2 linked regions of the Oryctolagus cuniculus genome follow. The protein of the gene in region 1 purifies or fractionates together with the protein of each later gene. This does not show direct contact. Links are inferred from orthologs where the notes say so. Each region holds a gene or a part of one and is shown on either strand. Other genes may lie near its edges.

Region 1 (4,072 bases):
AAGACCTTCCAGGGTTTAAAAGAAGGGAATTATAAAAAATCTATGATGTCTCCTAATCACAGCATTCAAGTAAAACATTTACTGAATACTGTCTTGCATACTCAAGAAACAGCAGTTTGCACTGGAAAAACCTGAGGGAGAGGAGAGTATGACATAAATCTGTAAAAACTATGTAATGTAAAAGGACAGCTGTATGGAGGAAAGTCTTACCAGTCAACCTAGATTTGAATCCTGGCTTTACAACCTACTTACTGGAACAAGGTACCTTCTTCTGAACTCGACTTCATCTCTAAAATGGGTATAATATCTACCTTGCAAATCTGCTGAGATTAAGCCTGAATATCCTAGGTACTCAATAAATGCTGTTACTGTTATTATCTTAGAACTGGGAGAGATTTAATCTAGTTCTCTCATTTTATAAACGGGGACACCAAAATATCACCAAGCAGAACACAAAATGTCAAATTAGTACACAAGTAGGGTATGAGATAAATTCATTAGAAATCACAAGACTATGTAGGCAAGATTTTCACAGGTGTACATGAAACTACAAAAGGAAGATTGTTATGAATTTGAAAACAAAAAAGTACAATTGCGGGGGCTGACACTGTGGAGAAGCAGGCTAAGCCTCCAGTGCAGCACCAGCATCCCATATGGGTGCAGAATCGAGACCAGGCTGCTCCTCTTCTGATCCAGCTCTCTGCTTATGGCCTAGGAAAGCAGTGGAAGATGGCCCAAGTGCCTGGACCCTTGCACCTGTGTGGGAGACTGTGAGGAAGCTCCTGGCTCTGGGCTTTGAATCGGCTCAGCTCCAGCTTTTGTGGCCATTTGGAGAGTGAACCAGGAGATGGAAGACCTCTCTCTCTCTCCACCTCTCTCTGTCTGTAATTCTATATCTCAAATAAATAAATAAAAGTATTTCTTAAAAAAGTACAATAGCTTCATGTAATTAATTTTCCAAACATGTGGTTCTGAATTTAAAAACTAAGCACAAAGTTTATATGGCAATTACAAAATAAGAAGAATCTACAGCAGACAGGTTAAAATTCAACTTTTCAATTACAATGACAGTATTATTAACCAATCACTTTGAGGAGGGTGGGGGATCTTCCAAACTCAATAGGTGAAGCTTTAGTAAAAGGTTATGACTCAAAACTTTCTTCCCTTGGCAAGATTTAACTTTGTTAGGGACAAATTTAAGACAGGCTTTCCACTTACGGCTTCAGTAACCACATCTTTCCTTAATTCTGAGCCAGCATATCTCTCAATTTCTATAAATGCACTATAACCCATGCAATCTGTTTAAAACATGCATAATTTAGGCCGGCACCGCGGCTCACCAGGCTAATCCTTCACCTGCGGCGCTGGCACCCCAGGTTCTAGTCCGGGTCAGGGCGCCAGACTCTGTCCCGGTTGCTCCTCTTCCAGTCCAGCTCTCTGCTGTAGCCCGGGAGTGCAGTGGAGGATGGCCCAAGTGCTTGGGCCCTGCACCCGCATGGGAGACCAGGAAGAAGCACCTGGCTCCTGGCTTTGGATTGGCCGACCGTAGCTGCCATTTGGGGGGGTGAACCAACAGAAGGAAGACCTTTCTCTCTGTCTCTCTCTCTCACTAACTCTACCTGTCAAAAAAAATAAAAAAAAAAAAAAAAACCATACATAATTTAAATTTTAAAAAAGCCACTTAGTGGTCTTATGAAACAAAAAGGCTATCATTATACTAATCATCTCCAAACTGAGTTGTTTTTATTTCCACATCATTAGTATTTTTCTTTTGCTTTACTCAAACACATCAAGTCAGCAACACGAAAAACACTTTCATGAGCAGTGAAAAACACTATGCTAATTTTTCAAGCCTCTCCTGACTTTCCCATGACATCTTTACCAACTTTTGTTTACCATTTTAATTTCTAGAAATTCTGACTCAGTGACTAGATCTATAATGACATTCCTTTAAAAAGTTTACATTTTTATTCTTTTGACAGTAGGGAGCTAAGTCCCCAGGAAAAAAAAAGTTCCGGGAAGTAACACAGAGTAGCAGATTTCAACTTTTACTGAAAGCGGGACATGTGATCAACTTTCAGCTACTCAATTAGGACAACATTGAACATAAGTTCATAGGCGTAACCTGAATAACTACTGTTAGTTTTAATGATATTCAACGTTAAAGACTTGCATCTCGGAGAAGTTTCGGTTATTTTTTGGACTTGAAAAGCTATCACTAAGAGAAAATAAGCCAAACCACCGGAGGGACAGATCATAAATCAACATGCAATCAATGTAAAAGTTCATTTTATTCCCTCTCCTTTGTTTCCTCTGTCAGCTTTGACGTTTTTCAACACAGGACTAATTACCAATAGAGCACAGGCAAATAGGCCATAAACAAGAGCTCTCCATGGATAAGGAGGATAGGTTCCCAAGACGATGGGAATTAGTCAAGCAAAAACCAGTTGAAGAAGGAAACCACATCCCGATCTGACCCTGCCAGAGACCCCCGAGGAACCTGCGAGGAGTACGAAGGAGCCTGGGCTCCTCCCTAAGGTCCCCGGCCTCCAGTGGCAACTCGGCTGGGCAACATGACTCAGGAAAGCACGGGGATGGCAGCGGCCTAGCGCGGCTGTCTCCCCAGCCCTCCCGGGCCTGCCTTCTCGGTCTTACCTGAAGGAAGGCAGGGACAGGAGGCCACGGTCTGGACCCTTGTCTTGCAGCGGGGATAACGCGTCGGCGGAGGCGGCGGCGGCAGCGGCAGCGGCAGCGGCTCAGACCCGGCCCGGCTCTGGCTCCACGAACCGGCGATGAATCAGCCCTATTCCATTCAAAAGAGTCGCCCAGGCCTCCGCCGCGAAGCACTTCCGGGTTCACTGCTCTGCTTCGGCTTCCGTTCCCCTGGCGGCCAATTGGAGACTACTCGAGAGTCGAGCGGGCGTCCCAGGGGAAACGCACGGTGCAGACCGCGCGGGTCCTGCGGCTTCTGCCGTCTCACCGGGAGGAGGAGGCGGAAGTTTGCGCTCGGGCCGCCCCCGCCTCTCGGGTGTCCTCCTTTTTCCAGGCCCACCTCTGTGTTCCCCGGCCGCAGGCGAGCTGTGGGACGCCGGCACCGCCAGCCCCTGAACCGGCTAGGAAATGCAACTCTTGCTGTTGCGGACCCTAGGGTCCTTTCGTTGTGGTGTCCACCGCCATTGCGGCCTTCCACAAAAACTCACAAAGGTAAACTTGAACTAATTGGTCATCTGAAGGAAGCAAAAAAGAAAAAGGGGCTGGTATGTTTAGAGGGGATGGTCAGACGCGCTTTTTCCGTAGCCCACTTGACCCCCCACTTCTTTACTGCTTTGCAAACATTGAATTTCAAGGAAAACTAATGTTCCCAAATATTTTAAGTGCAGTTCAGTTCACAGGGTTTAAGGAATCCTTTACTTAAATATTTTCTCCATATAATTATCAACAACCACGTTTTACTGGTTGATCTGCTCTGTGCTAGGTTTTCTAAAAGCAGGAATAACTACGGACAAGTTTATGTCACACTTTGGGTCTAGTTAGGCCTCTATTCGGGCAACATATTTACCACGTCCCTCTTTCTTTCTCAGATATGTTGCAACTAACAAACATCTTTCAAACATTCCTAAGAATTATGATTAATCTACTGGATGGAGGGTGAGGAGAGAGGACAGCATCAAGATACAAAGCTATAATGTGAGTTACACAATATATTAACATCTCTATCTAAAAATGCTTAATAATGTTACAGGTAATAATTATATTTGGAGTCAGGTTTTATGTTTTCCCCCAAAACTTGTGTTTTGTTTTGTTTTGTTTTGTTTTGTTTTGTTTTTGGTAAATAACCCTCCAAGTAACTTCCCTAATCAGAAACCTGAGATTAGGTACTGCTTGTTCGGCTTCCCAATTAATCCCTCTAGAAAACATGAAGTGTCTAATCTCCATAATAACTTTTACAGTCCACCAGCCCACTTTCTCCATTCTTCCCAGGTTAGCCTTAGTGAAAGCCTTCCTCACTTTTTTCTTAAAATTCTGCAGTTATCCCCTTCATTTTCATGCTTCCAGTCTCCCCCCTTTAACC
Region 2 (3,567 bases), on another chromosome or scaffold:
CTTTGCTTGATGTCCTATTCTCTTAAGCAGGTGTTCAAAGCGAGTTCCTTTGAAGGACAAGGTTTTTGGGTATAAAATAAACATAGAATTTACCATTTCAACCATTTAGTACATTAATATTAACGTGCAACAATCATCACAATCCATTTCCAGAGCTTTTTCATCAACTAAAACCAAAACTCTGTATGAGTAACAATAATTCACATTCTTACCTACCTTCATCCCCTGGGAAGCACTACTCTACTCCGCATCTCTATACTTTTCTAGCTATCTCTAAGTGGAATCATAAAATCTGTCTTTTCATGTCTGGCTTATTTCACTCTGCAAAATGTCTTTAAGGTTCCTCTGTCCTGAAAGCGTATGTCAGAATTTTGTAATTTAAAAAAGACGAGTAATTTTCTATTGTATGTATATACTAAATTTTGTTTCTTCATCTGTCAGTGACCATCGAAAGATGTTGCTTCCATCTTGTTTGGCTGCTGTGAACAATACTGTTATGAATATAGTAATCAAGTGTTTGACTGAGGCCCTACTTTGAAATCTTTTGGGTATATACCTAGAAGTGAAACTGCTGGATCATATAGTGAGTTTAACTTCTATGAAACTGTCATACTAATTTCTTTAGCAGTTATAACATTTCATATTCTCACCCAAAAGTACAAAGATTACAATTTTTCCATATCCTAGTGCTTGTTATTTTATATTTTCTTTTTTAAATTTTTTTTTATTTTTATTTTTTGACAGACAGAGTGGACAGAGAGAGAGAGAGACAGAGAGAAAGGTCCTCCTTTGCCATTGGTTCACCCTCCAATGGCCACCGAGGCGGGCGTGCTGCGGCTGGCGCACCGCGCTGATCCGAAGGCAGGAGCCAGGTGCCCCTCCTAGTCTCCCATGGGGTGCAGGGCCCAAGCACTTGGGCCATCCTCCAATGCACTCCCGGGCCACAGCAGAGAGCTGGCCTGGAAGAGGGGCAACCGGGACAGAATCCGGCACCCCGACCGGGACTAGAACCTGGTGTGCCAGCGCTGCAAGGAGGAGGATTAGCCTAGTAAGCCACGGCACCGGCCTATATTTTCTTTTAAATAACTATCTTGATAGTTGCAAAGTGAAAAATGAGCTTAAAAAGAATACTTTCATATACTATAACCATACCAACTTAAACCAACACAAAAATAGGAATATACCCAGAGTCAAATGACAGACCTAAAACATACAATTATGTGCAATGTAGCACATATAAAGCAAAGTGCACGGAACTGGAATCAAACGACCTGGATTTGAGTATAAGCTGTTCCAGTCTGCATAGTCTTGGAAAATTTTCTTAACTTTATGTTCTTAGCAAGATTGTAAAAGGATTGTATGTCATAGGTAAAAGCACTCACAAAAGTACATATTACACAGATATGAGTTGTGATACAACAGCATATTAATTTTTCAATATATACTTCACAAGGGTTTTCATAATAGTGCCGCATATTATCTTTTTGTGTAGAATTCACTGTGTTAAGATACTCTTGGCTATGCCATAAAAATATCTTTTTAAACATAAAATCTGGTAACAAACTTTTGTTTCCCTTCCTTCAACATTACAAAAAATAAAATTTCATTAAATATTCACAGCAACCCTGAGAAGTGGCTGTTATGCACTTTTTGAGGAAAATGAGGCTTAAAGGAGTGAAGAGAATAAATGAAGTTCAAAAAGCTAAGTCAGTGTTAGAACTGAAATATGACATGGTCTTCTGTTCAAGGAAGATGTAGAAGGGAAAGTGACCCAAGTTGGAAAATAGAGTCCTAAACAGTAAGAAGTGAAATAGAAAAGGTTTTCAGTATTAATTATGAGACTTTGAGGGAGAAGTCCAAGGTGATGGATAAGAAGACTGCCACCCATAACAGCAGTTTCTACTTTGTACCTAACCTATCAGCAAATGAACTTGATTACTGAAAATCTTGTCAAAAATTAAGATATCCTCAAAGAAAACCAAGACAAGTCATACCAACCTGTTTTATGCAAAACTTGTTTTCCTTCAATATTGGATCCCAAGATTCCAATTGTGTCTACCGCTACACCAATCATGGTGGGGTCCTGACTTTCTGTCATTTCAAAGACTTTTTCCACAAAGACAGGATAACGCTCACAGATTTGTTGAGGACTATCCATGACAGCTAAGTTTCCAAAAAACTTCACAAATCCTAAAGATAATTACAAAACCATATTTACTTATTTAAAATATTTAAAAATTCTATTTATTTTCACTTATTTGAAAGGCAGAGAGAGAGAGAGCAATCTTCTACTCACTGTGTTACTTCCAAATGCCAGCAATAGCTAAGGCTGTGCCAGACCAAAGCCAGGAGCCTAGAACTCCATCTGGATCTCCTGTGTGGGTGGCAGGGACCCAGATACTTGAGTCATCACCTGCTGCCTCCCAGTGTGTACATTATCAGGAAGCTGGATTGGAAGCAGAGGCAGGACTCAAACCCTGATACAGGATGCAGGCACCCAAGTGGTGGCTTACCTGCTGTACCACAATGCCTACCCGCAAAGATATATTTTATCTGAGGAGCAAAGGAGGACAAACTGTGGGTTTTTTTTGCTTTGTTTGTTTATTTTTTGATATAGGAACAATAACAAACTGCAGGGCAAAAAGAAGAGAAGATTGGAGTAGAGTGTTGCCTGGAAATCAGAGAGACCCATAAGGAAAGAGTGACAGATCTGTGATGCGTGGTCCTGAGAACAGAAACCGCAGGCTGTCACTGAAAGTGAGTCCAAACATTAAAGTGTTGTCATATGCACTAAAGAGAACAGAGAACAAGGACCAACAGATACAAATTATATGAACGCAAGTTTAAGGTTATTTAGTAAGAAATTTTTAAATAGATATGATCATAAAAAAAAAGTTAGATTAACTAAGAAAAAATAAACCTCTAATTTTTAAAATGTTCAAAAGGGTCTAAGCAACAATGTCTTAGAAAGGCCTAAATTAGATAAATTAGGTCCTAAATTAGATAAAGATTTCCAACCAGAGATCTGATGATTCTTCGACAGTTGTTGTAAATATCACTATTAGTATTTTGTGTTTCTTTTAATTGAACTTCTAAAGAAAACTACCCAAATGCTCCAAAAAACACTGATGCTTCCATGGGGCAGCACTGTGACACAGCAAGCTAAGGTGCTGTCGCAAACAGCTGCTCTGCTTCTGATTCAGCTGTCTGCTAATGTGCCTGGGAAAGCAGCAAAGGATGGCTCAACTGCTTGGGCCCCTGCCACCAACATGGGAGACCCAGATGAAGCTCCAGGTTCCTGGCTTTGGTCTAGACCAGCCCTGGCTGTTGTGGCATATGAGGAGTGAACCAGTAGATGGAAAAATCTCTCCTTTTCTGTCACTCTACCCTTCAAAGAAACAAAAGCATTGATGTTTCCAGAAAATCAATAGTACGTGGCCCCCAGAGCAACAGATTACACCTCATTAAGGGACTATCAGTTTCTTTTCTTTGGATCAACAATCATACATGGGGGGCTAGCGCTGTGAGGTAGTGGGTAAAGCCACCGCCTGTAGTGCTAGCATCCCA

Evidence for each region. Proteins that work in one complex are often made in the same cells at the same time.
Region 2: the proteins of PSMD14 (region 1) and PSMD5 purify together in Homo sapiens (affinity purification with mass spectrometry; 6 studies listed by BioGRID and IntAct, with this or other methods). This does not show direct contact. The link is inferred for Oryctolagus cuniculus from reciprocal best matches to the Homo sapiens genes PSMD14 and PSMD5.

The regions. Positions count from the first base shown.
Region 1 is NC_091434.1:80,409,553-80,413,624, forward strand, and holds the start of PSMD14 (26S proteasome non-ATPase regulatory subunit 14), read right to left. Parts: upstream 2,836-4,072; 5' UTR 2,656-2,835; intron 1-2,655.
Region 2 is NC_091432.1:224,739,401-224,742,967, forward strand, and holds part of PSMD5 (26S proteasome non-ATPase regulatory subunit 5), read right to left. Parts: intron 2,191-3,567; coding exon 1,999-2,190; intron 48-1,998; coding exon 1-47. UniProt on the Homo sapiens protein: Acts as a chaperone during the assembly of the 26S proteasome, specifically of the base subcomplex of the PA700/19S regulatory complex (RC).